Alligator mississippiensis: one gene and its partners. The protein of the gene in region 1 interacts with the protein of each later gene in a pairwise test. Links are inferred from orthologs where the notes say so. Each region holds a gene or a part of one and is shown in the gene's direction. Other genes may lie near its edges.

Region 1 (7,735 bases):
CGGCCTGGGGGTGCCGGGTGGGGGTTGGTGCCACAGAGCAGAGCGCAGGCAGCCCTGATCCTGCAGGATTACAGCGGGGATTAGGGTCTCGGGAAGAGGGGAGGGCCTGGTGCTGCAGGCACGGGGAAGCCCAGGCAGAGCAGGCAGGTCTGGCCCTGCTTCCCCTGGGCAGGGGAGGGGGCTGCAGGCCCTGGGGTCTCCCCCTGCTGCTGTGCAGCTGGCGGCCATGAGCCCTGCTCCAGCAGCACCCGCAGGGGCTGCAGCCGTGCCAGGAGGCCCCCAGCTTCCCGGGCCTGGGTGACCCCACGCTGAGGCTGAGGCCATACAAGGGACTTGATGCCAGGACCTGGTCGTGCACGATGACCAGGCTGAAGCACAGCCTGCCCGGGTGTCCCTCTTCAGCTGGTTCCAGCAAGGCAGGCAAGTGCTCAAGTGCAGGCCTGCACGCTTTGGCGGTGCTGGGACTCCCGGCCCCGTGCCCGCAGCTTCCTGCACCTGAGGGTGCCCCGCAGGTAGCACACCTGCCACCTCCAACGCTGCCTGCTCCTTGTGCTGCCGGGACAGGGCTGTGTGGAGCTCATGTCCCTCCTTGGTGCCCTCCTGCAGCTTGGAGGCCCAAGACCCTCAGCCCAGGGGCAGTTTGAGCCTGGCAGGTGCTCCCAGCTGTTCCCAGGCAGGGGGCAGCTTGCCATCTTCTCCTCCTCTTCTCCAGGCACCAGACACCCTCTCTCCTGCTGCCGTGGCAGGGGTGGCCCAGCAGATGCTCTGAGGCCCTGGCCAGCTCTGCGTCCCCCAGGCCTTGGCTGCAGGAGGGATGAGAGTGTGTAACGGGCAGCACAGGGATGCAGGGGGTGCATTGGCTGCAACGGAGCAGCATGGAGCCCCGGACCTTGCTCCTGCGGGGTTTAGCTAGGTGCGGGGGCAGCGGGGAAGCCCGCTCTCTGCCTATTCCAGCTGGCATCGTCACTCCCAGGAGCAGGGTCATGTGAGCATCCACCCATTGCCGAGGGAGGGCTGGGGCTGTCCCCGTCTGGGAGCTGCTATTCCTGCCAACCCGTTGGCGTTGCTGGGGTCCTCGGCTGGCCAGGGCAGAGTGGATGGGGTGTGGGGCTGGCATCAGGGTCCCTGGAGCTCTGTGCTTTACCCTCTCAAGCTCTGCAGGCCCGAGGGTGTGGGGAGGGCAGACAGGGCCCCGAGCCAGGAGGCAGCTCGTTGCCCACATGCCGGAGCTCAGCATGACATGCTCAGCCTTCCCTTCAGCCTGCGAGCCGGCGGCAGCAGCCCAGAAAAAGCAATCTGCTGGCCAGTTGCAGCGGTTGGACAGTGCCCTGCAGCCCTCCGGCCAGTCCTGGGTCAAGGCCCGTGCCCGGGGGCGCCTGCAGCTGGTGCTCCTGGCCATGCTCCTGCCTGGCATGCTGGGGTTTGTGTCTCGTGTGCTCCAGCGGCTGCAGCAGGCAGTCGGTGACCAGGTGAGTGGCCCCTGCCTCGGCTCTGGGGCACAGGCCACGTCCAGCTCTGGGGCCAGGACTCAGCTCAGCGAGGACCCATTTTGGGAGGGAGATGTCGTCTGCACCTAGGGGTAGGGGGAGCCTGGGTGGGCAGGGGTGCAGCCCAGGTCCGTGCCTGGGCACCCGCCTGGCTCTCCAGCCAGAGCCCCAGGCCCTCCAGCCATGCTGAGCATCCCCAGGGCAGATGGGGCATGCCCCAAGGCACCCCCCTGCTTCCCTGGGGAGCAGCAGGCTGGGCGAGGACCCGCACAGCATCCCCCTGTAAAGCTGCAGAGCCGGGCTGTGCCCAGCAGACCCTGCCCCGGGCATGCCAGGTCCCTGGGGGCTGCTCGTGCCCCCTCCCCTGAGGCTGGCGGAGCCGGCGAGGGTGCGCTGGCCCCCCAGCCCCACTTCCCTCCCTCCCTCCCTCCCTCCCTCGGCGGTGTCGTTTCTGCACCTTCCTTTTCTGCAGCGCGGTTGCTATGCAACTGTCGGCTCCCTGGATGCTGGAAGCGCCGGTACTGAAGGATAAGCCGGATCTAAAAATACCCGGCTGCAAGCACCCCCCCGCCCCTCCGCCCCGGGGTGCACGGGCCGGCAGGGCAGGACGCGGGGCCTGGAGGGGCTGCTGCCTGGAGGCTCCCAGCCGGGTGGATCGGGGCCCTGGCAAGCGCCCGGCAGGGAGCCGGGATTGGCTGGGCGCGTGCGTGGGCTCCTCCAGCGGGGAGCTTCCAGCTGCCGGCGCTTCGCTCCTTCTGCTCCAGCCAGATTGGGGAGACTCTGTCTGCGTCCCTGTCTCCCTCCCGCTGCCAGGGTGGGGAGACAGCTCCCCATCCCCGTCCTGGGCACCGCCGGGGCCTCCCGTGCGGCTCCCAACTGGCTCCGGAGGTGCCGGGGTCGCCACGCCGGGGCCTGCGGCATGGGGACAGTCAGTGAGCTCTGTGCCTCAAGCTTCCAGGCCTTCCTCTGCCCCTCGGTGACAGCCAAGGCAGGTAGGTGCAGTGTGGCGCTGTGGGGGCGGTCGGCTGGGCACGTCCCACACTTGGCGCACGGTGCCGAGGGGCTCTAGCACCCAGGCTGGCAGGGCTGCATGCTCCAGGGCTGCTGTTCCAGCCCAGCAGCCAGGCAGAAGGGGCTTCTGGCTTGCGAGGGCCCAGGAGCTGTGCCCGAATGTGTCTTGGAGACGGCTCTGGTGGGGATAGGGCTGAGCAGCCTGGCGGCATGGGGCCTGGGCAGAGCCTGGCTGTCCTGGAAGTTGCCCCATGGCAGGCATGTGCTGGCCCCGTGGGGCTGCCGGCGGGAAGGACGGTGCTGACGCAAGCCTGGGGTGTGCAAGCGGTGCAGTGAAAACAGGATGTGGTGTCTGGTCCCCATAGTGCCGAGGTGGGGCCAGAAGAAGTCAGGAGCGGTGCATGCCTCTGAGCAGGTGCTGGGCCCAGCTGTTGGGGCTGGGGACTGCGGCACTGCCTGGTACCGTGCATGGCCAGGGCCCTTCCCTGCCCTCATGCCTGCAGATGCTCAAGGGTCCCCAGCCCCTGCGCCTTGCAGCAGGGCCCATGCACCAGCCCTGTTGTGCAAAGCCAGACGCATGCTATGCAGTGTGTGAGGATAAGAGTTTGGTGGCCTCTAGCTGCAGGGTGGGGGCTGCCTGCCAGCCAGGACAGGGTTGTCCCCACTGCTTCCTTGAGAGGGTCTTTGTTTTCCAGGAGAGTAGAGGTCATTAATGGTACCAGGAAGGGGGGAGCATGCCATGAAGCCCTGGTAGGCTTGCTCCAGCCCTGGTCCCCTTAGCCCTTCTCTGAAGCCTCTGCTTCTCCAGCCTCAACAGCAGGCATTGCTTGAGCTGGGGGAAGTGTCCGGGGGGCCCTGTGTGTCTAGCAGGGGCAGGGATGCCATCCTGGCTCGGGGTTGTCACAAGCCAGGTTGAGCCTTTGGCTTTTACCACCTGCCAGGGAGAGCCAGACCCTCCCGTAGCTCCCACACATCTGTGCTGCCCCAGAGCTGCGGCTCACCCTCCCTGCCAGGCTGCCCTGAGCCTAGTTGCTGACGTGGAGCAAGGGTGAGAGGGGGCAGTGGGCTGGGGCTCTGGGCTGGTGCCCGGGGACCCCAGGCCTGTGATGCGCTGCCTCTGCCAGCAGCCAGAGGCCTGGGGGTCCATGAGCCCGAGAGACCCTGGGCTGGGCGCTTGGCAGCACTTGGAGCCATGGTGCAGGGGGGGAGCCTGGTCGAGGCATCAAATAGCTGTCCTTGTGCTCCAGGAGGGGCCTGGGCCCTGAGAGGGAGCAGAGACGGCCTGTGTCTGGGCATGGGACCCGGCCTGCGCCATGCCCCTTGGTGCCTGTGGGCAGGAGGGCACAGCCGGCGCCTGCAGGTCGATCGTGGGATCGATGGCTCAGCTGGCCCTGGGGATGGAGAACCACCCGGGACAGGGGCAGGGACAGGGCTGGCGAGCCACAGGGCAGGTGTGTGGTTGGTGCCGGCAATGGGGACTCGGGGCAGGGCTGTGCCTGGGCTGCCATGTGCCGCAGCGGGGCCCCTGTGCCAGCAAAGTGCTGTGTTGCAGGGAGGAAGGAAGAGCAGGCGGGGCCAGCGGCCTGGGCCCAGGGCTAGCGCCGGTTAACTGCCTCGTGCCTGGGCTTGGGGCTGGGGGGCCCCGCCGGTTGGCGCTTGTCCCCCTCGCATGCCCACCTGCGGCGTGGGCTGCACCTGCCTCTGCCATGGGGCACGGCCACCACCCGGGATCTCTGGAGCGTGTTTCACTAGCTCCTTCCAGCCAGGCTCAGACTGGGCTTCCCACCTGGCTCTGACGTGATGAAACCAGCCCCCTCCACTTCCCCAGCCCCTGGGCTCAGGACCGTCCCCCTGGAGTCAGGCCAGGGTGCTAGGCTGGGGGATCCCCCAGGCTTGGCCAGGCCTGCAGGGAGGTGGGGGGCAGGGCAGAGGCCGTGGCCAGAGCACGGGGTCCCTGCCCAGCCGCCCAGCTCTCCCAGGTGTTCCCTCTTCCCTCCAAGCCCACCCTGCACTGCCCCTGGGGCTGGAGCCATTCCTGGCTCCGTGGGGGCGCGTGTCCTGGGGCTGCCGGGGAGCCGGCTGGGTGGGGGTGGGAGCAGAGGGGTTAATGGTGCATGAGCTCCGGGCCCTGTCGGGGCAGGAACAGGGTGTTGGCCAGGAGCTCGGGGAAGCCAGGATGACGCCCATCCCGACGGGTGGCTCATTGGCTCAGCGGCCGTGAGTCACTCCAGGAAGCGGCTGGAACCGCGGGGGCCCCACTTCCGTCCCCCCACACCTGGGACGCCCTGGGAGCGCCGGCCAGGATGGTGCTTAGCATGGAGCAGGGAAGCGGTGAGCTGGGCCTGGGGCAGAGGGCAGCATGGCGGGGCAGCCGGGGTGGGCCTGGGGCAGGAGCGGCTTCGGGTTTGTGCTTGTTGGAGCTGGCACTGCCATCCCAAGAAGCTCACAGCTCCCCCCCCCCCCCCCCCCAGCAGCTTCAGTGTGCCCTGCGATGCTGGGGGCTCTGGGGGTCCCCGTCTCCCAGGGCTTCTGCTTGTGCCCTGCCAGCAGGCGCCGGAGCTGGGCACTGATCCCTAGTACAACACCGAGGTGCCTGCATCCCTGCCCGGGCATGTGTCTGGGTCCAGGCTGGCACGCCTGCATGCTGCTGCTTGTCCCTGGGCTCCCAGTCAGGGACGGGGAAGCCCCAGGGCCCGGTCAGTGCTTCCCCCCCCAAGCCACTGGCAGGGTTTGTGCATGCCCAACCCCTTCGCCCACCCTGGGGCCTGTTCCTGCCTGGCTCCTGCCCCGGCGGGGTGTGTCTGCGCGGGGCGAGATGGCTGCAAGCCTCAGTGCGCTCATCAGAAGGCAGTCGTGGCAGCCGCGTGGAGCTAGACCCGTGTCCTCGGAGCCCGGGGCTGTCCTGCCCCCTTCTCCCTGGTCCACGGGCACCCCTGGGTGCAGGTCTGGGCTCACTTGCCCACCTGGCTCAGCCTCTGCTGCTTGGGCCTGGGGAGAAGCAGGCTGCTCTCCCTGGCTTTGGGGAGCGTGCAGCCGGGCACGACTTGGGGGCTCTGGCACGTGGGCTGCACAGCCAGGCCCCACACAGGTGCTCTGGTGCCAGACCTGTGAAGTGCCCTCCTGCCCCTCAGCGCTGCCCCCATGCCCGGTCCACCCTCCTCCTCCCAGCCGGAGCCTGCTGAGCGCCCTGCAGCCAGGGCTTGGTGTGGAGCAGGGGTGGGAGGCCCACCCCTCGACCACGGGATTTCACGACAGTGAAATCCCCACCTGTCCCAGAGCAGCACCGGGACTTCCCTGAGGCCTCGAGGGCTGCTGGGAGCAGAGCTGTGTGGCCAGGCTTCTTGCCTGGGGGCAGCTAGGACTCCTGGGTCCCCGTCTGGTCGCCACTGTCGCAGACTGGGGTAAGCATCCTGCTCAGCCCCAGGCATTTGATCGGGGGGGCATAACTGGGCTTTGCCCTGGGTGCGTTGTGGGGGGCAGGACAGCGCCGGGGGATGCCCTGGCAATGCAGTGCAGCTGCTACAGCCATGCCCTGTGTCTGCTTTGGTGCGAGACTGGAATGGTCTCAGGCTTCTGGTGTGGCGTCTCTGGGGGTGCAGGCACCGCAGGGTGTCGGTGCCCACGAGCAGGCATCGCTGCAGGGAGGTTGTGCCAGCGGGGAGGCTCCCAGGAAGGGGTTAAAGGTCCTATTGCTCCTCACCAGGGAAAACCACCCCGTCTGCGGTTTCCCTTCCCCTTTCCCAGTGCTGACGTCCCTGTCACGAGCCCAGGGTCACTCTTGGTGCATCAGTTGCTGCAAGAGGAGGGGGTGGCACAGCTCCTGCTCCTGTGTCTCATCACGGCTGTGCTGCTGCTGACTCTCTGCTGTGGCAGCAGGCCCCTCGCTGGTCTGCCCCATGCCCCAGGGGTGGGAGAAGACCTCCAGGCTGCCCAGCTCTGGGGCTTTGGGGCTGCCTGTCTCCAGCAATCCCCTCCCTTCCTGCCAGCTTGTTCCCTAGCCTGGGTGTTTCTCCTGTGGGGTGTTGGGGGTGACCTGGTGGCCTGGCTCCCCTTGGGCTTGGGCTGCATCTGGGCAGTGTCCTCCACTCTGCTGCTGAGTCCAGGGCACATCTACATGTGCGTTAATGCACATTCAATCTAGTCCCTCCATAATTTATGAGTTACTAGGAAAATGTGCATTAGCCTGTCTTCATAGACATAGATTCATAGACATTTGGGCTGGAAGGGACCTCAGAAGATCATCGAGTCCAGCCCGTGCCCCAGGGGCAGGAAGTCAGCTGGGGTCATAGGATCCCAGCAAGATAAGCATCCAAATGTCTCTTGAAGGCGTTCAAAGTGGGCGCTTGAACCACCTCCGGTGGCAGGCTATTCCAGACCTTGGGGGCTCGGACAGTAAAGAAGATCTTCCTTATGTCCAGCCTGAAATGGTCACGGAGGAGTTTGTGACCATTCGATCTCGCCATCCCTTGGAGCGCTCTGGTGAACGGGCATTCCCCCAGATCCTGGTGAACACCCCTGATAAACTTATAGGTGGCCACCAGATCACCCCTGAGCCCCAGGGCTCTCAGCCCATCGTCGTAGGGTCTGCTTCCCTGACCTCTGATCATGCGCGTGGCTCTTCTCTGGACTCTCTCAAGCTTCTCCACATCCTTTTTGAATTGGGGAGCCCAAAACTGGACGCAGTACTCCAGCTGCGGCCTCACCAAGGCCGAGTACAACGGGAGAATGATGTTTTAATGCACATTAACTAAAGAGCATGCTTTTAAAGTGATGCTTAATCTGCCTTAGCCTATCTTAATGCACGTTAAGCAGAACGCATAGTTTAGGATGCATTAATACACATTAAAATAGGCTGATGTGCATTAAAGCGTGTGTGTAGATGCACCCGAGGTGTTTCAGCAGTCAGGAAGCCGGTGGTGCCCAGGGTGCTGCTCGCTGCCTTTCCCCTGGGGGGACTGCGATAGGGCCACGCGTGCTGGGAGATGTTGCCTGTGTTAGCCAGCAGTCTCATGCCTACCTGCCAGAGCTAGCTGGGAGCCGGGCAGGTCTGATGCTGGAGGAGTCCTGGCTGCAGCCTGGCTCTCCCCATGGTGCCAAATACCAGTGAGGAGGCTCCTCCCTAGACAGTCCTGCTTGTGGGGCGAAGCTGCCAGCCCTGGCACTGCTGAGGGTGCCCTGGGGCGCTCGGGGCCAAGCCGTCCTGGCGACTCGTAAGGGTGGAGCTGCCTGCAGGCCGG
Region 2 (7,332 bases), on another chromosome or scaffold:
ACAACCCCACCTGCAGCAGCAGCGGCAGGCCATCAGGGTGCTCACATTTTCACACAAAGCATTGTTTTCAACTGGCTATATGTGATAGTACACAATAATATTACACAGACTTTTATGTGAATGAGACTATGAAATTCCATGGGAATTGCAGGGGAAAAGGGCAGGGAAAATCTCTTAAACTATACCTTGATCAGGACACTAAAGCTTATTTTCCTTATTAGGAAAAATACTTGTAGGATGATGAATGACCATAGCAAAACATGACTCAGTTGAAAGAAGATACTCTTCTCATCTCCAGATAGTGCCCTGAAGCAAGATATGAAGCATTGTTTCACAACTTTGGCAGAAAAACAAATTTTCCCTCAATTTTCAATATTTTTTTTTCAAAATCTGGGTTTTACCTGGACTCTGTCTAGTCTAGGGTTTCGATCACATACCTTGAGTTAGCTAAAACAATTGTAAATTCAACCTTGGGGGGTGCAGAAATATTTGTTTCAAGACACACAAAAATTTGTGGTCTGTGGTTCAAGCAGTTGTAGAAATACCTTGGTATTCAGGAATAAGCAGCTTTAGAGAGCTATATTTTCATTTAGAACTGTAGTAGTTAACATGGCAGTATCTGTATTGCCTCCCTGCTGAGCCTGGGATTGCTGCTGAAAAGCAAATCCTGCTCACTTGTTTCCACTCACCTCACATCCAAGTCTGGCAATGAGAAGAGATGGTTCAGATAAGTTCTTAGTGCATATTAGTGCAAGAGCCTGAGACAGCTTCTGTGTTGTTTACTCTGGTTGCTTTCTAGGCTTGAACATAGGTGAAGTTGGGAGTAGGTAACCTTACTTTTTAGTAGGGGGCCATGTAAACATGACTTTAATTGTCCATAAGTTAACACATTTATTTAAAATAAAACTAAAGGGGCTCAAACACAAAATGGGAGACAAAAATAATGCAGCAGTGTGGCAAATTCAAAACAGGGTTATGGAAATATTTTCATACACAATGACCAGTTAGGCTGAGGATCTCATTACCACTGGGTATCATTGAAGCCAGGGACTTAGTGAGACTCAGTGAGGAGATGAATATTTCATTAATATACAAGAATGCTAAGAGTTACAAGAGTGCTAGAGAGAGATTTATATCAACTTCTAATGATTCAGGATTGCATAGAAGACAGACTGCACCACATCTCTCTACAGCATATTGTATTGTGCCTTCCTTTGAATCATTGGATACTGGCCATTTTCGGACCCATGATATAGGCTGCCAGTTGGGTCCTGAGTCTGATCCACTATGATGATTCCTGGTTACTAGGACACTAGCCTAGACAAGCCTATAGAAATTTGCCATGTAATGAGTAGTTTTAACCCCGCTTCACTCTTGAAATCTGATTAGGCTGTACAGGAAAGCATTAGCAGATCCAGGAACAGAATTTAGGTCTTTGAGTTGAGTGAAATATCTTAACCACAAATACATCCTTTGTCTCTTAATTTTAGTTTTCCAAGTATAGTCAGGTCAAAATCAATTTCTGCAGTTTTACTTGCTGAGTGGATTTTAAACTGAATGAAGTATTTCTACTCTTGAATAAACTAAGATCTAATTTGATCTGATCAGTCATCAACCTAAGCACTATTTTACTTATTTATGATATTTAAATCATTTAGTGTTTTATCTCCTTCAAAATATGCTAACACTTAAGAGTCCCATACATAAAGCAAGATCAGTGCTGTCTAAGATCAAATGTTAGGTCACAGTACAGAGAGCAACAACAACAAAAAAAAGACAGTCCCTGCCCCGCAAACTTTGCAATCAAAATAGACTTAGATCCTGTGCTGAGTGAATCGCATTAATTCAGACCAGTCTCTTCATTGATTTCTTGTTTGTCTGCTTCCCACTTAACTGATCAGTAAAAGGACTGATTTGTTAAATTACTAGAAATTTCTTTCATCTGAATTATAAATAGCCTGCTAGGAGGATAGGAAATGAAAATGGAATAAAATAAGTGAAGAGAAATATGAAATGGAATAACAGAAAATGATGGGGAGAAAAGCTAAAATGTCATATTCACAAGGATATCAAGTGAAAAATATAGAAAAATGAGAATATAAAGGAATCCAATAAGATAAGAAGCATACCACAGATACCTTAAAGGCGAGTATGTGACTTATCTATGTTCATGTATTGATATAGAAGATTGCAATGACAATTACTCCCATTCTATTTGCTTTTAGTTAGTACTTCCAGGTGCTTCTCTCAGTGCTTTTATTTATTCCTCAATCAGTCATCCTCTCTCTCAGATGTTGGACATCATGACATCAATATAACATACAATAGCACTTTGGTTTTAATGGAAAAAGTAACACTATTCATGTATTTAATATTGCCAAAGAGATTTGGTAAATTGGTGATTTTTGGTACTAGGGCTATTTCTAACTCCCTGGACCAGACTTTGGTTTTAGGATATGTCTTTTCTTCTCTCTTTTCCAGAGAAGCAGGTTTCCTCACCTGGGAACCTGCCATAGTAAAAATTTTGTCATGTGTCAAGAGCTGCTTTATTATGTGTTGAGTATATCAACTCATTGATCTATCACATGTTGATCAACTTAGATGGGTCCTAATCTGACTCCCCATTCAATACTTCTGACAGAATGAAGAACTTTTCCTCTAAAATATAGGGACCTTCTTGTCTTCTATGCACCTACTCTGAAGAACAGTGGCAACAGCCTTGCGACAGAGGAATTGTACAAGAGGATTATACCACGACTTGCAGTCCACTAGGTTTTATACTATTATTGTAAAATACTTTGACATTACTCTGGAAACCACTGGGAATTTTACTTGAGAAAAATATTAGAATAAGGAAATGACCTATACACCAACATTAGGATTGGTAAGCAGTTAATTTCCTCACTCTAATTGTATTCTATCATTACATTAATGTTATTCTTATTGTCATTTTAAAATCAAGCAAGAAAATATATTTACTTCATTACTACCTAATTGTTGGTAGTTTCCTTGTTTGAAGAATCAACCTATGTACCTCTGTGTAAAAACTGTAGGTAGAAGATGTGATTGCTCTTTGTGTTCTGGTGCCTGTGGCCTCATATATGTCAATTCACAGTGGTACAGGAAACTACAGCTAGGCAAATGACGCTTCTCTTTGTGAAGCAAATACAGGAAACAGCAGAGCAAAGTAACAGGGGAGGAAATGGGTTTACCGTAGCAGAAATGTGATTAAGATCAGCTAAGCAGGAAAAATGAATTGTGTTAGCCATGCAAAACTCTAAAACTCTTGGTTCAGAGATGATACCTTTTATTAGACCAACTAAGAAATGACAAAAATGTATCTTTCTTTGCAAGCTTTCAGGAGCACACACCCTTCTTCAGGATGAGGAAAAATTAGAGATGGCAAAAGTCCCCATAGGTAGAAAATACACTTCATTTTGCACATAGGATGCTGAAGGCGGATGCCTGTTCCTCTGGGTCATTGTGTTAGCCATTACATTTTACTTGACTTGTCTTTTTGAAGAAGACATTCTACTTCTGACAGTCCAAATGGGTTTCTTACTGAGTTTGATCCTCTGTTGTGTTCTTGTTCTTTTTATGGTGTGTCACACTCCAGAAATCTAATACTAAACAGAACCAGGTGTCTTTTTAAAAATTAACATATCGCAGCAGCTTCCTTCACAATGCTTCACTTAATCTCAGTTCTCTTTCTGAGGGGGTTATGTCCATGATTCTCAACCAGGATGCCTTAGGTTTCTTTGAGATCCTTACACATGAGAATGGAATTTGATAGATTTTTTGATTGCATATTAGCAACAAAATGCAAATTCCCCTTTATAAATATTTACTATAAAAATATTGCAGGGTGTAAATAGAGCACTTTTACAACATATCCTTTTATATTGGTGTCTAATCCTTGTTTATGTCCCTAATCATGCACTCAAGTAATAACTTGATAAAATCATGGCTTTCCACATTTTATGCCAAAGATAATTGAGAAATGTGAGAGAACACTGAGAATGGAAGTTTAGGAAAGTTTTGTTTTTCAAAACAGATGCTGACTTACAGAACCATTACAGAATATAAAATCTGCCTGATGAGAGATCCATTTGCTTCCAGGAGTGGAAAAATAAGCAGATTTCTCTAATTGCAAAACCCAACTCTTAGCTCTTCCACAAGCTTAAAAACATTGAGTAACACTGGTGAACTGCAAGAAGAGATTTCTGTACATGCACCTAAACCACAAGTCACGTGGCCCTCTTTCCATTCTGATACTTTTTGACTGCTGGTAGAGGAGGCTACAGTTTTAGTTTCTTCAGTCATACCATGTTATTTGACAGTGCTACTCAAATGATCAGCACCCATCATGTCCTTTAGAAGGCTCATTCAGCAAAACCGTAATGCCAATTTTGCAGGCTTCTGCGTTAGTCCTTATACTCCTTACTTGGAAACTATGTGCAGCCCGCAGATGGATAATAAGCAATTTCAGAACCTGGCAAATGCAGTGGGGACCTTACCCAGAGGACGCAGGCAGGTAAGTTTTTTGCTTTTACTATTGCAGGAAGTTTCCTTTTGAGAGTACAGCTAATTGTTTTTCTGTATTTGCAATTGTAAATGTAATCGGCAAGGTTATTAGCAAGTAATTTAAAAGGTTTGTTGTGGAATGTAGCTTGCCAGATTCAACTATAGGTTGATTTTCACAGTCAGTGGAATTACAGCAAGGATAAATTTGGCCTGCTTTGTTTTGAATAGTAATTAATTCTTTCAAAAAAATCTAAATCTAGCCAATTTCCTGCAGTAAGCGTACACAGGATGAATTCAAACTCTAAAGCACCTTGAAACATATAAAGAGCTTTTGAAACCAGAGTAGTGGCTGTGGTTTTTTTTTTTTTTGTTCTCAGTTTACAGGTATGCTGAGAATCAAAAGAAGCTGTTGATTTCAGGGCTTATGGGATTTCTCATGTCCTTTAAGTTTAATTTATTTTACTTCAATGTATGCCATGTTCAGGCTTTTTGTTTCCCCATAGGCTTGCTTTCAGATATGACTGATACCAGCAATATGTAGATGTGCCCACCTGGGTCGATCTCTGTTGTAAAAGTGATGAAAGTGTTTCTGGGTTGGATATTTCTCAATACAAAATTATTTGTTTTTCTTGTTTTCCCCCTATTATGTTAACAACATGACAGATTTCTGTCTTTTGCAATTGGCTGCTAACAAAATCCTGTTTCCATTTTTACTGTTCCTGTGAATTGACAAATGAGCACTTACAGGATATTATCTAGTGATCTGGTGTAAATCAATCAAAATTCAAAGTATTTGAAATGTATTATAAATGCAAATTATCAACAAAGAATTGTTATGTATTGACTGGGCACTTAAGCCTTCACTTTGTGCATCAATAGATGTGCTCTTAATTCTTCTTTTTTGTACAACCTGAGAAAAGATAAAGCAAGGCCAGAACTGGATAGATTAATGTTTCCATGGAATGTTCTTACTGATTTTTGTTCAGCTAGTACTGTTTGTGATAAAGAAACAATTTCTTTTGTCTCTGTATGGCAATCAGTCCTGATTGAGAGAGAACATTTATGATAGTGGCTATGACACAGCCATGTGTGTGAAAAATAAATTTCAACATGTACATCAGGCATGGGAACTACCCTTCACAACAAACTTGCACAACTGATGGGTACTTTGCAGAAGTCGTTTAGCTTAGAGTTACGTACATATGGACTTCTGTTAACTGACCTGCTGCTTATTATTACGTGCATCTAACCTCCCCCACCCCGGATAAATACATGTTAATGAGTTGGTTCTTTTACAGGGACACATTTTGAAGAAGTCTGTGTCTCATGGCTAATTATAAGGACTTGAAGTCCACAAGCCTGTTAGTGATATAGGACAATGGTTCCTTATTTGATATTTACATTTTCAAGAAGCAGCAGCTTCAGTATGATATTAGCTTTTTTTATAATCTTTTGTGATTTCTTAAGGATGTTTATGTTTGTATGCAACATCAAGGTCCAGTCTATTGGTTTCATGAATGTTTGGGTATGCTGTTGGAAACTACCTTGCATGAAGACACCATCGTTATTCCAGTTAAGGTCAGGTAGTGCCACACAGGCACTCCTGCACAGGGTTAAGTCAATCTAATTACACTCAATGCTTTGTAGATCTTCTTACAGAAATGCTGGAATTAGCATTAGGAATCCAGTTTTTTCTACACTTTAGTAACAGTCCCACAAATACCAGTGTGTGGACACAATGCTTCTCATGTTTTGAGTCTTGGATTAACCCTAATCCTCCCATTTAAACCGATGAAGTGTGACTTGAGGGGAGCAGAGTTCACTTAAAGATGTGAAGGATCTTTGGATCCTGCCTTGGTGATCTCTTTTTTTGATGTAGCATATAATTCTCATTAGTATTAGCGGAGATGGGGAGGGCTCTGTGGTAAGGTGATGCTTCAGATATGTTTGGGCTATCTATGGATAAAGACCAGCACAAAGGGAGAATAAAAGCAGATGTCTGAAAGTTAAAAGGGTTTCAGTTCTGCTGCTGGTTCAATTATGTACTTCCTGTGTAACCTTGGGCAACCTAATTTGTTTGTGCCTAAGCTTTCCCACTTGTAAAACAGAGCTAATTTTGTTTGCGTGTGCCACAAATATTGTTAATAAACAGTTTTGAGATTTTTCTGAGATATGGTATGCTAAAAATGTAAGGTATTACCGTTGTTAAAGCCCACTGTTAGCACAATGGAATAATGTTAGTATACATGCAAGTATTTGCTGTTCACCCTACTCCTTTGTAAGGCATTTTAAAAGGCTCCCAAGTATATGGAAAAATAGAGTGATTTGTAAACAAGTATATTTCCTAACACCACTCAAATGATTTCTTTGAGATTTGCTTGCAACCTCCTATAAATAAGATGGCATGGCTGGGGTTCGTGGATGCTGGCTATACATAGGCATACGCTGTGCCTAAATGAAGAGCATGGGTGCTCAAACTAGCACATCTCACACTTTGATTAGGTTCTGCAATTTCCATAGCATACTGTACTGTTATAATAGCAGCAGTATCAAAGAACATGAAAGGCTGTTGCTACTTGAGGTTCTGCAGAACTACTACTACTCAGCTTTCTTGAGATCTGTGCAAACTAAGATTATAGAATCAAACAAATTGCAAAGCTCTATAGAGCTGCTTGTCCCCACCACCATACCAGCATAGGATTTCTCTTTATGAATTGCTACCTATTGCAGTTTTCAGTTCCAATGTCTCAAGACATTAAGCAATGTCTTAAGTGTCAGCATTTCACTGTGGGGGAATGAATTCTATAA
Region 3 (7,804 bases), on another chromosome or scaffold:
GTTTTTTTCATAAAGCAAAAGCAACAGCCAAATCAACCAAATTTTAAAAAGCTGAGGAACTGAATTGTGACTGCATCAGGTTATAACACTATTCCAGTATGTGAGGAGAAGGTCACATTATTTATTTCTAGTCACATTTCTAGTCTCAGACTAGACATCAGGAGGCGCTACTTCATAGTCAGGGTGACTAGGAGCTGGAACCAACTTCCAAGGGAAGTGGTGATGGCTCCTACCCTGGGGGTCTTCAAAAGGAGGCTAGACAGCTACCTAGCTGGGGTCATTTGACCCCAGGATCCTTTCCTGCCCATGGCAGGGGGTCGGACTAGATGATCTGCTTAGGTCCTTTCCGACCCTACCAACTATGAAACAACTTGTTTTAAAAAAAAGATTTTAAACCCACCACAAATGCATTTAATAATCATTCTTCACTCTAATTGTTTCAGCTATGCTTTCAGGTTCTATCAGAAATGGCCTTTTAATTGATAGGTCCTTATATATGGAGCAGGAGGTCACATTTTAAAAGTGAATTGGGTGAAACATCTCCCTCTGCTGCTTGCTCAGGGGCTACTACCACATCAATTGTTTTTTTGCTTCCTTATGCTCTTTTTTAAACATAAACATTATCTCACTTAAATTTAATGTACAAATAAGCCATAACAAGAGCCTGAAAATGATTAATAATGAGACAGGATTGTGAAGGAAAGGAATGAGAACAGGAAATCTAATCTTTGGTTTTTCTATATATAGCAAACACCTCCAGCATAAGCACACAGTGTTTTGTATAAATACATTTAAAATGTGTTTTGTAGGCACATATTTTCAACATGTTGTCATGATGTGAAACACATGTAGCCTCTAAAAAATTATGTGAAATATGCTGAGCTTTTGCCCATGCACATAAGTAAAAGTTATGCTCAGTGTATATGTGTGTGTAAATATTTAGCTGGAAGAATAGCCAATGAGAACTACTTCAGAATGATCCTCGAGTCAGAAAGCCACAAAATATAGCTCTGGAATTTGCCATGGTTGTATGTCCACATAAACAATACCAACTGGGAAGACTGGAGCGGGGGAGGAGGAGGAGGGGGAGTTTGCTATTTGTGGCAGATCACAGAAGAAAAGAAATTGAAAACCAGTTTTCTTGGCTCTAATTGAAAGATACAAGATTATAAGCAGGGGCTTTACACAACTTTAAACAACTCTCCCCACTTTGAGTCTGAGTCCTGTCTTTAATGATACATGCAAAAATAATCAATTTTATTAAATACTCTAGAGTTCAGTTAATCATCATTTTGGCAGAGGCCTAAAATGGCTTGGTTCAGGTATGTATGGACAGGATTCACCCATCATCGTTACAGGGCCATAAGTTACACAAAACAAATATCCACTCACTTGCCCTTTCAAGCTTGCTTTTGTCAGTTCTTTGAGGCAAGATCATGTCTTCTATTGTTTATTCAGCAGAATGAGACCCTGATCCTGGCTGAAGGCTTCAGGTGATAATATAAATATTTAATGGTACTGCAGTGGGAAAGGGGCATGAAGAAACTTCACTTTCCATGGTAAATTTCAGCAGTTCAGGCAAAGATTAATTATTTGTAAAATCTCCGAGGCCATTTGCTGTCAGAAGTTTTTAAATGGTCAGTAAAAACTCAGAGTATTTGTAATACATGGCTTTTTACAGTGTAAAGCTAGTAAGGCTATGTCTAGCTATCTCAGTCCTCCCATCCATTCCTAGCCTATGTCATAGCTCTGTTCTTGTTTCTGCTTCTCCTGGTTACTGATTGACACATTTGAGTCTTCAAATGAGTTTCAAATGGGCCAGTGGGGGAGGGGACCAATAGCAGTTGCCACCAAGTAGTTGCTTCACAAATCCAAATATTTCCTGGGTAAAATTGGAGAAAGGACAGCAGGTAAAATAAAATCCTTTTAGAAAGTGGAAGAAGTTTTTTCTCTGTGGTAGTATTGAATAGATAGATAAAACACCATTCATGTTCAAAGAGGTTTTGTGGCAGAGGAATTTACAATAAATGGGAATATTCCTGGATTTGGGGTGGGGAAGGGGAGTGGGGGGAGATGGGTGTGTTGCCCAACAAGGAAGGTCATGGCAAGAAACCCTACTTTTTCCTTACATAAGTTCTTTGCACATGGATTCTGTCATCTTCTCCTGATGAGCTCTGAGATCTGAATGGAGAGGCAAAGTATTATTTGAATAGCCACTGGATGGGAACTTCTATGAGAAGTTGATCGTAGAAGTCTTCAGGCTAATGAGCTATTTTAGGTGGGGTAGTGGGGGAAGGGTTTAGCCTTTTGTACCAAAGCACTGTTCCTAGGGGTGACCACAATGTCCCCTGGGCTAGGCACAGAAGTTACACATAAACCGGTTCAAGTGACCAGAAACTGGTTTAAACTTGTAACACAACGTAAGTTCAGTGCACATAAACCACCTTCAAAATGGCTGAGAATGGTTTAATATAAACCTGGTTGAATGTCGTATCAGACTTAACTGGTTGAGCTCAAGCTGGTTTAACTTAAACCAGAGTCCCCCAGCATCCTGACATGCTTTGTAGCCCTGTGTGAGGCTGTGCTCTCTGCTCCCTAGCTGGAACAGCGGTGGACAGGGGCAGGGGCATGGCTAGACGCTGGCCCCACTAAGGCAAAGGGGTCAGGGAAAAGGTTTTTCCCTCTGTCCCTCCCCTGTCCTACTATCATGGACCCCAGCAGGGTCTAACAGGCAGGAGCTCAGCAGACCCTGACCGGCATTTTTCCATTTGCTGCTCCAGTGGTGGGGATGTGTCCAGCCCCAGCAGTAGCCTCAAATGAACTGGCAGGGAGAGGAATTTAATTTCCCCCCTCCCTGTCCCACCAGCATAGACTTGGGCCAGGGTCCACCTGGCACTCCCCACTTGCTGCTGCAGAGGTGGGGGCATGGCCAGATGCCGGCCAGCCTGGCCCCCTGAGGCAGAGGGACCAGGAAGGGGTTTTATTTCCCTTCCAGCCCCTCTGTCCCTGGGGGACTGCAGCCAGGGTCTGCCTGCCCCAACTGCCTGCATGCGGCAAATGGTGGGATAAGCCCCCTCCCTGCCTTCTCTATGAGATGCCAGAGGGAGGGGGTAAATAACCCGCTCCCTGCACTCTTGCCTGAAGGGGCCATGCTGGCCGGCCTCTGGCCATGCCGCCACCCCTGCTGCTGGAGTGGCAAAGGGGCAGGGACTGTGATGGGGGCAAGAACCCCTTTTATGGTTTCCCAGGGAGTGAAAGCTTCTTCCTGGTGGGGGACGCTGTGGTGCAGGGCGGTCAGAGCTGCTGCAGACTGCATGGGGCAAGTGGCAGTAGTGTGTGGGAGGCCTTGGGGGGCTATTGCCACCCCTCTGAGCCCCGGTGCCGGTGCTTACCCCACCCAGTCTGTGGCAGCTCTGCCTGCCCTGCTCTACCTGCCGCCGCCTGAAGCATAGGCCCCAGCTGGGAAGAGCCTTGATGTCCCAGGAAACCATGAGAGGGGCTGCTATCCTGCCAGGGTCACTCCCCATTGCCACTCCAGCAGCAGGGGCTGGGGTACAGCTAGAGGCCAGCTGGCATGGCCCCCTTAGATGAGGGGGAAGGGAGGGGGATTATTTCTCCCCTCCCTCTGGCATCGGGTGGAGGGGGTAGGGAGGGGGCTTATTCTACTGCTCGCCCCACACAGGGAGTGATCAGCAGCAGTCGGGGTGGACAGACCCTGGCTGTGGTCCCAAGGGGGTGGAGGTAGGGAATAAACCCCCTTCTTGTTCCCTCTGCCTCAGAGGGCTATGCTGACCAGTGTCTGGCCCTGCCCCTGCCTCCACCACTGCAAAAGTGAGAGGGGAGTGCCAGGTGGACCCCAGCTTGGGTCTGTGCTGATGGGGCAGGAGTGGAGAATTAAACCCCCTCCCTGGCCAGATCCCCTGAAGCTACTGCCAGGGTTGTCCATGTCCCCCCTCTTCTTCCTCCCCCCACCCCAGCACAGCTTCCCTGCAGCTGAGGGTGCTCTCTAGCACCGCCCCCAGCTTCTGGCTTAAGCCACTGCAGGCATGTGCCTGTATTTCCTGAGTATCTATTCACTTGCAGAACAGTTCAGTCTAGGCAGGTTAGATTAACCTGCGAAGATTGAATCAATTCAGGCTCTGGCTTTTTGAATGTCTGTCCCTAACACTGGTGGCTGCTTGGCCCCTGCTCTGCTCTTGCTTCTCAGGCTTGCTCCCCTTCACCTCACCTGCCATGCCTTGTTCCAAGGTTGTTTCCATCCTTGGAAAGGGAGACTGCCCCAGAGATCCCTGATCCCATGCTACTGTTCAGGTGTCACTACTGAGTGCAGTACATGACTCCAATTGACCCTTACACCATGCCCATGCCTCACAGATGTTGCTAATCATGCTCTGTGTCCCATTCAATAAGTGTCTCTCTTCAGGGGCATCGCAGCACCCTGTGTCTGCATATCTCTGACCCTATGTCAGCTCTAAGGCTGCCTTCTGTTAACCCCTGGGAGAGTAGAGTCTCCCTCTGCTGCTTGCTCAGGGCCAGGATGTCAGCAGCTAGGATGAGACTGCCTACCCCAGCTCTGGCCTTGGGCTTATCTCCTGGTTAAGCCCCATCAGGTGCTTCCCATCTTGCTGACACAGCTCCTTCCAGAGCCTTCGCCCTTCTTAAAGTTGTTACCTGTTAAGAACACCTGATAAACCTTTACACGTGACACACCATAGTTCTGTAGCATGCCCTTTTCTCTTTAAATTTCCCCACTTACTCTGCTAGTCAGGAAGTAGACTCTGCCATTGACTGAATATGACTGTAGAATGGCTATCTAACTGATTAAGGTGCTTGTGTGGGCCTCCAAATTATAGCCTCTCAACAGTTTGGCTGTCTGTAACAGGTTATCTTCATGGTATCTATAGATGATGCAGGGAAGTGTTAATATCCCCATCTTAGGGAAAATTTAGCCAAAGAGAAACTAAGTGGCTTGTTCAGTGTTTCAAGAGGCAGTCTGTGATGGAGAAGGCAAGAAAAGCGGCATCCCTGGGTACTTAGATAGAAGTCTAGCAACTGGACTGTCCTTCATCACAAAGGTACCTCAATTTTTAGTGCCAAAATTCTATATGTCAAGTCAATGCCAACCACTTAAGTTCTGATCCTGCAAAGGTCTCTGACTGACCTCCAATGCAAACAAAAAGCTAATTTCTTGGTCAGGCTCCTACTTTATGGAGAACACCTGAGGTTAAGAACCCATAAAGTATTACTAAGGGGGAATAGGGTGGGATTGCTCTCTATTTAGTGAGACTGTAACGTGCTGCTGACTTCATACCATCATTTTGTTGCATAAGGGCAATTGCATTGGTATCTTTCCTTTGTTTTTTTGGCAGTGACAGTGATCACTACTTTATAAAGTGCTGTTGTAGAGGTTGGTAGAATCTGTTAATTCTTAAAATACATTTCTAGCATCTCTAAGATTCTTGTATACTTTTTTCTCCCTGGATATTTACTGGTTTTTTGCTTGGTATTTTTCTTAACAATATAGTTCTCCTGTGTTTCTTTTTCTGTCAGATGGGCATGCTTAGTTTGATTTGTGATATTGGGCAGTTGTATAAGAGAGGTTTGTGATTTGTAGTTTGATGTCACTATTCCACACCTTAGCTGTGCTATGTTTTGGGGCTAAATGAGTTCCCTAGATTGTCAACTCCACTACTGCAGAAGTTGAGATCTATAGGAGATGGAGCTTTGTATTAGATTAGTGGTGTTCAGCCCCCATCTCATGTCCCTATCCAGCCTCCAGTGCAATGTCATCCATGGGCCGTGACTCTGCGCACTAGATTGGGCCTGTGGGGTAGTACAGGACCTGATCCTGGTGTGCAGGGTCAGGCAGGGGCAGTGCAGAGCCCCTGGAGCACAATACCCATACATGGGAATGGATGGAGATGGCACAGGGCTCCTAGAGCCTGATCCCAACGTGTGGGACCAGGCAGAGGTGGGATGGCACCCTCAGAGCCCAATCCTGGCACATGGGGTCTGATCTGGCCCAGAGACTGGGCCGACACCTCTCAACTGGCTGGTGGGGGCAAAGGATTGAGTGCCACTGTAGTAGATTACAATTGCTTACATTATGCTGATATATGATCTTTATATTTATTTAGCCAGGACCTTTGATTTTTGTGACACTTTTTTCATTCCCCCCCTCCCCTCCCCTCTCCAGGCTCTTAAGATGAGTATATATTTAGGCATGTTTGATTTTATTCATAGCTCCTGTGTATATTGTAGGGTAGAACTAGGAAAGATTATTAAATGCTTAACTTGAATATTATTCAGGGAATTTAGAGCTGGTTATAACTACTACTCTCTTGATAATTTTGCGTAACACCAATAATAACTTTTAAAACATTATATAACTCAACACTCTTCCATCTTAACCAGCTTCTAACAAGGTCTGGCCACCCACAGTGGATGGGAACATATACAAAAGCTATTTTCTAACTCCCTTTATGTATTAATAGCAGTACCTGTTATCCTGACCCTTTTGGCATTCAGAGCAGAGACCAGGCAAGGGAGCATCTTGATAAAAGTTCTCTGTAGTTTGAACTCTGCCTGACAGTAGTAGGTCCACCCAATCTCTCCTTTGGCTCAGGTGGGTCACTGAACCACCTGTCACATCATGAGTAATATTTTTAATGGTAGTCATTCCTGCTATAACACACTGAATAAAACAGGACTTATGTGTATGCTATAAATCCTTCACGGTTTAGAAAGTAGTTAATAGCTAAACACATCACAGCTAGAAGAGGTGATGTTGTGTAATGCTTTACATTTGTTATATGGGGTCAGGCTACAGATAAATCCTAGAGAATTGCTCTTTTTGAATACTTAAGGCAGATGATCCAAAGATAGGTCTAGAAAAAATTCTATTTGCTTCAAAAATATACTACTATGCAATATGTGCTCAGTGTATTTATGCATACACGGGGTGCATTTATTAAGTAAGCAGTTTTGTGTAGCAACACTGGCATGTAGCTATTTGCATTTAACTGGAGCATGCTGCTGCCTTCCAGCAGAGCATCGTTACTGACCTTTTACTCCCATGAATACAGCAATGTAAAAGATTAACTTAACAGCAGCATAATGTTCTTAGGTGCTGCCACCTTGTGGAAGTTCCCTGTAAGCTTTTTTGTCAGGAGAACCCAGATTTCCTCTCAATCCCTGACCTCAGAACTGCTAGAGAAACGCTAGCTTTTGTTTTCAGTTTCCTGTTTAGAATCTCTAAGGGAGTGAACATGCAGGATAATAGGAATGTATTACACAAAGACTCTTTCTGAGGACAGGTAAAGCCTTCAGACTAAAGGAGCTTGATGTACAAATGCATCTAAGATGAATTTGGTCCAGAAATTTGAGCAGATGAAAAATTTTATAAGAAAGCCTCTGTTTCTGGACATGAGGGCTAGGGACAGACATTCAAAAAGCCTGAGCCTGAATTGATTCGATCTTTGCAGGTTAGTCTAACCAGCCTAGGCTGAATCATGTAACCACACAGACATCCCCTCTGGATTGAAAAAATGCAGGCACATGCCTGCAGTGGCTCCGGCTAGAAGCTGGGGGGCACTAGAGCAGCCCTCCCTTTCATTCCACAGTACTGAGCTGAGGCAGGATGCTCTGATTAAGGAGGGTTCCCCACCCCTTCTTGCTGGTCAGCAAGGGAGCCAGCAGGGGCTTACACAGCAGTTATCACCTCATTAGTAAAAACAAAAAGATCTCTCAATTTTTCAAGCTCTTCTTAAACAACTTTTTCCAAGGAAGGAATGGAGGAACGTTA
Region 4 (6,859 bases), on another chromosome or scaffold:
AAACATCTGAGCGCTGTATGCTAATATTCACCAACCATGTATCATTAGCAGGAATAGATCCTATATTGTCCTTTCCCTCTCTGGATAATGTCAAATCTGGATTAACCTCAGCAAACCTGACTATGACTACTACGAATTAAATATATATCTGAAGTTCAGTCACTTACTTTATTAGAAAAAGACAAAGACAACACTTCAATACAGAAGGCATATTTCCTCTTTGGAGGGCAGGGTCTTAATAATTACTTCATGTAAGAGATCTCCCCTAAAAAGGAAGTTCAAAGGTGCTTTTTTAATATCCCAGCTGTTTTCAAAAAGGGGCTAAAGGTAGTTTCTATAAACAGGTTTTGACCAATCGTGTATCTTTGTTTTGACCACAGCATCTCCAAGTTAACAAACAACAACTTTTACTAATGCTGGTTAGTCCCTGATATCAAAGTGCTTGCCTTGAATATCAGCAGAGTCATCTCAGTATCAAACTGAAGTCTGGGGAACATTGAAATTCAAGACTAGTCAGAAGTGGCTCTTGGGCAGGGGTAGGTATATAGTCATCATCATATGCACCTTTTATTCCTGCCCCACTTGGTGTTTAAAACAAACTGTTTGGCAGGACTAGCCACATTTCTATTCAGGTGGAGCTGAGGGAGTCAACTGACCTTATGGTTCATTATTATCTGCTTGATTGCTGCTAATCTTTACACTCCATAGGTGCTAACAAGCCTTGTTCTTTCATTAACCAAGCTATCCTTTCTTCTACAATTATCTTGTCAGTTATCTACTCCTGGTAATGTTTTTGTTCCCCGCCCCCCATATGTCCAGTAAAAGTGTGCCACTATTGAGGAACCTGTACTGAATGGCTCTGTTCCTAGGGGATTTGAACCTACAATGTATCAGAGCCAAAAAGAAGAGGAACAGGGCTGAAGGCAGGCCCAGGTGTGCAATGGTACAGGGGTCAGAAGCAGGAGGAAGCTGCAAGGTGAGGCAAAGAGGTAAGTTCCTGCAGTGACCCTTGCTTGAGTTATTCATTGTAGTAGATGATGGAGGTTGTGGGAGGTTGAACCAGCAGCACAACCAGGATGACACGAAGGTGGGCATGGGTGGATCCAGAGGGGTTTGTCTCCCCATGTAGGAGACTAAACCCTGTGCGTGTGTGCGTGTGTGTGCGTGTGTGCGCACGCGCACGCGAACACACATATATACACGTGTATGTATACATATAGATATTCTTATATAACAAAGGACATCGTCCATCTGTCTGTCTGTCTGTAATGCTCTCGGAGCACTCATCATGGCGGCACTCTGCTGCCTCTGAGGAGCAGGACTAGGGGGGTGAGGCCAGCACTGCTGGAGTCAGCAGTGCTAGTGGAGGGGGACAGCGGGGCAAGCTCCCCCCTCTCCCCATTCCTGGGAGGCGGCGGTGGCGCTCTGTTTCCCCCCTCCCCTGCTCCATCAGTCTTGACAGTCAATTGGCTAGTATATACATATAGGGCATGTCTACATATCGCCATATGGCAACATTCCTACAGTACTTCTTTTGTAAGTATTAAAGCACGGTGCAGTACAGGTGATTACTGCACTGCACATGCAGCACATGGTTAAATTTTGCCATTATGGTGATGCAGTGTGTCACTACGTCACCATAAGGTGACGTGTAGACATGCTTATATATACATGTACACACATGTGAGCACGTGTGTGTATTTGTGTGTATTGGAAATAAAAGATAATGACCCAGTACTATTGGCAAATTTTCAGCACTAGCATGCTAAAGCAGATTGCATGTGTGCTGGCTGACATGGTTCTGGGGAAATTAAGGGCCTGTAATTGATTGCCTTGGCAATTTGATACCGAACTTACAATTTCCTAAGACAATGAATGGAAATCACTAATTCGCTGAGGGATAATTTCAGCACCGAGCAGCAGAAGGACTTTGTCTATACCAGAAATGATGTGTGATATTAAGTAATCAAGGATGATTTGGCTGCGGGGAAATGGAAGACAAGGAGTATCACTATCTGCCTTTGAGATTCTCCCATGGGCCAAATATTGTCTGATGTTTCAATGCACCCACATCATTGTGAGCACAACAGTGCTATGTATTCAGCATCAAAGTGCCATTTTCCACGTTTATCTCATTTCAGAGAATTATTATTTTCCGTTCTGAAGGGTGTTCTTTGGTTTCAAGATGGTTGCAGGCAGGCTGCAGTGGAGGGTCAGGGTGTGATCCTGTCTCATGGTGACTTAGCAATATTTTACTGCAAGCTAGTGCTTGTGGTAATCTTCTTCCTCCTTCCAGAAAGCATAGAAGCCTTCTCTCTTTCACGCAGGCCCCTCAGGCCATTCTTGCTTCATCCTTTTTGGTGGAAGAGGGATCCAGGCTTACCTCCTGGTTCTTCACCTGGCAGAATCCCAAGAAGCTTCTTTTGCATCTCAGCCCACTCTGTGGACAGTTCCTTCCTTTCTGCCCTGCCACAAGCGCCTTTCTGTCCCTGTTTACACGACTAGCTTTACCACACGCTGCTCTGGAAAGGGAGGGGCTGTAGTGAACTTGAACTGAGAACTCCACCCCTTCTGCAGTGTTAGGCCAGCCCTTTAAATTCCTTTAAAACAGAAGTATTTAAATAGAGCTCAGAGCACCCAGGCCTGGTCCCCACCCTCCCAACACAGCTCTCTGCCCCTCTCTTGAGCACCCAGTGCTTTGTTTCCTACCTCATTCCTACTGCACCCTCCACAAGGAAAGCCAGCAAAAACATCCACTTTGCAGCATGCCCTGTAGGTTGCCATGTCTGAGCATTGTTGATCAGGGTGGGGGAATGTAACCAAGGATCCTTCACCAGGTGTGATGGCTAGCATGATCTGTAACACCAGCTAAGCTGCTGAGGCCTCCTGGCAATACAAGGCCTCCTGGCAATGCACTTAATGCAAGGGCCTTACTGCAATCATTGAAGCTGGAGCTGCACAGCAGGAGTTATAGTAGGTACATTTTGGGGACATCCTAGCAATGAGGTGAGGTGTGGTCCAGGCTGTTCTGGATGATTCAAGGTCTTAGAAACCTGTGGAGCTGTAATACAAGTTTGGGAAGCCCCCAAGCTGCTCCAATCTACTCCAGGTCCTGGAGGTCCTGATTGCCCCAGGACTGGGAAGCTGTGAGTTACCTACATGACCTGTGCATGGGTGCTGCAGTATATTCAAATTTGTCCTGAGAAGTTCCTATTCTCAGCCTTCTCTTATGCTAGCAGGAGGGGAATTGTAACTCAAGTGCCTTGGGTACCTTCAGCTTTCACAAGAGGAGGCTCTTCAAAGCCCAGGACCTAAATTAGTCAGGGCTACAGATGTGAATGAATCCCAATGCTTGCACCATCCCTTGGAAGTCATCAAGAGCCAGTACAGAGTCAAGAGTAGATATGTAATATAAATTATCACACTTGACTGGAGCTCACCTTGATTATGGAGCCAGTGACAGATTCACCACCCCCTGTACTGCTTCATTTGGCACATGTCTGTAACAAGAGATACTGAAGAAAGAACACTTTCCTACTATTATGCATTCTGAAGGGATTGCATATTATTTATGAGCCAAGGGGAATGAGTTCTGCCATGATGAAAGGATAAAAACACACCCCAGACTCTTCAAGAGACTGAGGCTCCATTGTTCCCTCCACTGAGGCTACCAGAGGGGTTACCATATGGTAAGAGCGCAGTCTTTGCTATTAGAGATCTGTTTGTTTTGTTTTTTTTGCGGGGGGGTTGGTTTTTCTTCCTTTTTAAGGAAATGTACACACTCACATCGCATTTTCTTGACTTCCTCCTTGTCTCACACAGGGTGACTATATAACAGAAATAGGAAGAAGAAAGCAGTAGTATGCTGCAAGAATCCCAGTGACTGATTGTTTTTCACAGCTACACTGGAGGAACTTCACAGTCAGCTGAGGCACAGCTTCACCACTGCCTGAGAACAGCTGTGGGAAAGCCAGCCAGAGCAGTAGATGCATGGTGATTCTGTTCCTGTGGAGGGGTGAGCAACATCTGCTCTGTCTGTGGCTTTGCTGCTTATTGACTTAATGTCCTCATAAGTGCCTATTATTACATTGCTTGAGTTTTGCTCTGCTCCTTTCAGAAATGACCAGCAGTGTCCTGAATTCTGCTCCAGGAACTTGAGAACATTCTGTTTGCAAATTTCTCTTCCATTCTATCTTTAATTGCCTAGTGGGTTAGAGTAGCCTTTTATAGAAGATGGGCACTCAAATTTTTTTAACTGAGTTGCTTCTGAAGGTGGAAACAAGCATGGGATTGTTGATGTGTAATGTACAGAAACTTAGGACCCAGCACATCATTGCACTGCTCTAAGACAAATGAGTATAATATGCATTTTAAATGCTACCACATTAATCTGATCTCTTTGTGCACGCTGCGGCAATTTAAATGGATGCCCAAGGAACATGGCAGTGGAGAATTGTACCCTTCCACACAGATGAAACAGAATACAATATATGTAAGGATGGGGAAATTCAGCGGCTATTGATCATATCAAAAGACTGGGTTGGATTTATGAGAAGGTTGACCAGATGCAGAAGAAGATCATTTGCAGTGCTCTGTGCTCCTTGCTGTGTAGCAACAATCTGTAATAGTTGAGGGTCTGATCTTATTTCGGTACAGACTTTACTATTGCTATACCTAGAAGCTAAACAAGGAAATTAGCTTCCTGTCTGGACTATATGCTTTTAGTTTCCCTGAGCACACTTATAAATTATTTTTTTCTTGGTACAGGGTAATCTGGCTTAATACTGTCTAATGTTTCCAGGAATAAATATTGAGCATCTTCCCCCCTCCACTTGCCCTCACATTGCTGAGAAACCCATAATGCTGATATTAAGAGCCAACAGGGCCAATAGTGAACCACAGTGCAGCTGAGGATTAACATTTAAGTTGTCAGAAAGTTATACAGGGGTTAGCATTAAAGTAGGACTTGCTTTATTTGGCAGTCAGAATGGTTTGATCACATGAATAATATTAAATTAATAGTTGAATCCAATTAAAAACAAACCAACCGTCAGACCCTTTGTAAGCCCACCTTCCACTTTTGAGGCAGATACAGAGCAAAATGTGTGTACAGTCATGGGGAAATGCATTCATTCACAAGTCAGAAGGCAGAAACATAAGACTGAAAAAAGCCTGAAGGTTATGGGTTTTGCCATGGATGTCATATCCTGCCTTAGTCATAAAATCACTTGTTTTTGCTCTTTGCATGTCACATTTGTTTCAGCTCCATTTTTACATACAATTTACTATTGTTATATATAATGCATTTTTGTAAAAGGGTTTCTATGACTCTTGTCTTCAGTGGCACAGGACTGACCTCAGACCCAGGAGGAGCCCTCTGGTATTGTGGTGGGGTTTTTTTCTGTCAGATGCATTCTGGGGGAGGAGCAATGAGGTTTAATCTGTTTGTAAAGCAGCCTAAGGTCTGAGACCGAATTTAGGAGACCACATATGTACCTAACAGACAAAGCTACTGTGCTCTTTCATTAAAGGGTTAATATGAATGTTCAGTATTGCACAATTACTCAGAAGGAGAAATGACACCAGTTTTCCTTGCTATGTTACACATCGGACAACTTTATTTTTATATTGCTATCAGAAATTGAATCTGTAATCCTTCCATGAATGAGAAAATAAGAGCACTTATTACTTGCACATTGTAAATCCCAGTAAGGGAAGAGAGAGAATACACAGCAATAACCTACTCAGTGATATATGGAACCTCAGCAGTGACCAAAGAAGTGTTTCTCAACCCAGGTGATGTGGCATCCTGGGGTACCTTGAGTTCTTTTACAGATGCCATGAGGTCCCACACAATGTTAGCACTGTTAGGTGTGCAAAAACATGATCCACAAGATAAATCCAGAGTTTTTCAAATAGGAATTTGTAGTGTTAAAAAGCCTTCTGATCCATTGTGCTCTTCCTGAGTTCTTTGCAGTAGAAGAATTGCTCTATTATTTTTCTATAGTCAAAAAGTTAAAACAGAGCTGGCATTTAGTGAGGGGTACCTGGAGTTTAAAAAGGTTAAGAGACACTGTAATTTAGGAAATCTACATATTATATGCAAATGAAAAGAAAGCTGTAAAAGAAACCTTCCTGAATATGGGGAGAAAGATTATATCTTGTCTTTCTACAGAAACCTTTTCTGTAGAAAGACAAGTCATGCAGCTAAAGATGAGATCTGAGTTTTGGAAAAAATGGACCAAAAATGGTCTTTATCATAGGCGGTGTGCTGCTATCAATACAGCCCCCATATGTCTATACAGTCCCTAGCAGGTCTTAGCCACTACTGCAACACAGAAAGTATAAGGAGTGCATAGTAACTGCCCCTCCTTTGTAGTGTGGAATTCCTTAAATTCTCCATTTGTATTATTAGAGGGCCACTTAAAATTTGAAGTATGATCTCTAGGGGTAAACATTATATATGCACAAATATGTGTGTGTGTATATATTTTTATATATGCGTGTATTTATGTATATAATATGTGTACATTATAGTATATTGTATATGTATGTTTTATATGCATGTGTATCTATCGATACATAAAACCAAGGCTGGAGCCTTATATAGCAGCTCTCCATGGGTTCAGCTCTGCTGTGTACATGGCACTTAACACCCTCTTGGTAACACTCTTTTGGTAGCAACATAAAAATAATTTGCGTAATGTATAACAGGGAAAGGAAAACTGATGTCAGAACTTGGCAAACTGTCAACCATGTTATATCTCATCCAGCTAATCATGGATTTTGCTTAACAAGACTGGATAGTGTTCCATAACAACACGCAAACATAGATTTCATAGATTTCGTAGACATTAGG

The links.
Region 2: the proteins of CYTH1 (region 1) and CYTIP interact in binary tests that used the Homo sapiens proteins (3 or more experiments, as listed by UniProt). The link is inferred for Alligator mississippiensis from reciprocal best matches to the Homo sapiens genes CYTH1 and CYTIP.
Region 3: the proteins of CYTH1 (region 1) and IPCEF1 interact in binary tests that used the Homo sapiens proteins (3 or more experiments, as listed by UniProt). The link is inferred for Alligator mississippiensis from reciprocal best matches to the Homo sapiens genes CYTH1 and IPCEF1.
Region 4: the proteins of CYTH1 (region 1) and ITGB2 interact in a two-hybrid assay, tested with the Homo sapiens proteins (2 studies listed by BioGRID). The link is inferred for Alligator mississippiensis from reciprocal best matches to the Homo sapiens genes CYTH1 and ITGB2.

Annotation. Positions count from the first base shown.
Region 1 is NC_081831.1:723,243-730,977, reverse strand, and holds the start of CYTH1 (cytohesin-1), read left to right. Parts: upstream 1-4,727; 5' UTR 4,728-4,801; coding exon 4,802-4,829; intron 4,830-7,735. UniProt on the Homo sapiens protein: Promotes guanine-nucleotide exchange on ARF1, ARF5 and ARF6. Promotes the activation of ARF factors through replacement of GDP with GTP.
Region 2 is NC_081827.1:222,880,318-222,887,649, forward strand, and holds the start of CYTIP (cytohesin-interacting protein), read left to right. Parts: upstream 1-4,315; 5' UTR 4,316-4,366; coding exon 4,367-4,534; intron 4,535-7,332. UniProt on the Homo sapiens protein: By its binding to cytohesin-1 (CYTH1), it modifies activation of ARFs by CYTH1 and its precise function may be to sequester CYTH1 in the cytoplasm.
Region 3 is NC_081824.1:133,246,759-133,254,562, reverse strand, and holds the start of IPCEF1 (interactor protein for cytohesin exchange factors 1), read left to right. Parts: upstream 1-4,799; 5' UTR 4,800-5,075; intron 5,076-5,303; exon of another isoform or gene 5,304-5,407; intron 5,408-7,804. UniProt on the Homo sapiens protein: Enhances the promotion of guanine-nucleotide exchange by PSCD2 on ARF6 in a concentration-dependent manner.
Region 4 is NC_081827.1:188,078,294-188,085,152, forward strand, and holds the start of ITGB2 (integrin beta-2), read left to right. Parts: upstream 1-3,848; 5' UTR 3,849-4,015; intron 4,016-6,859.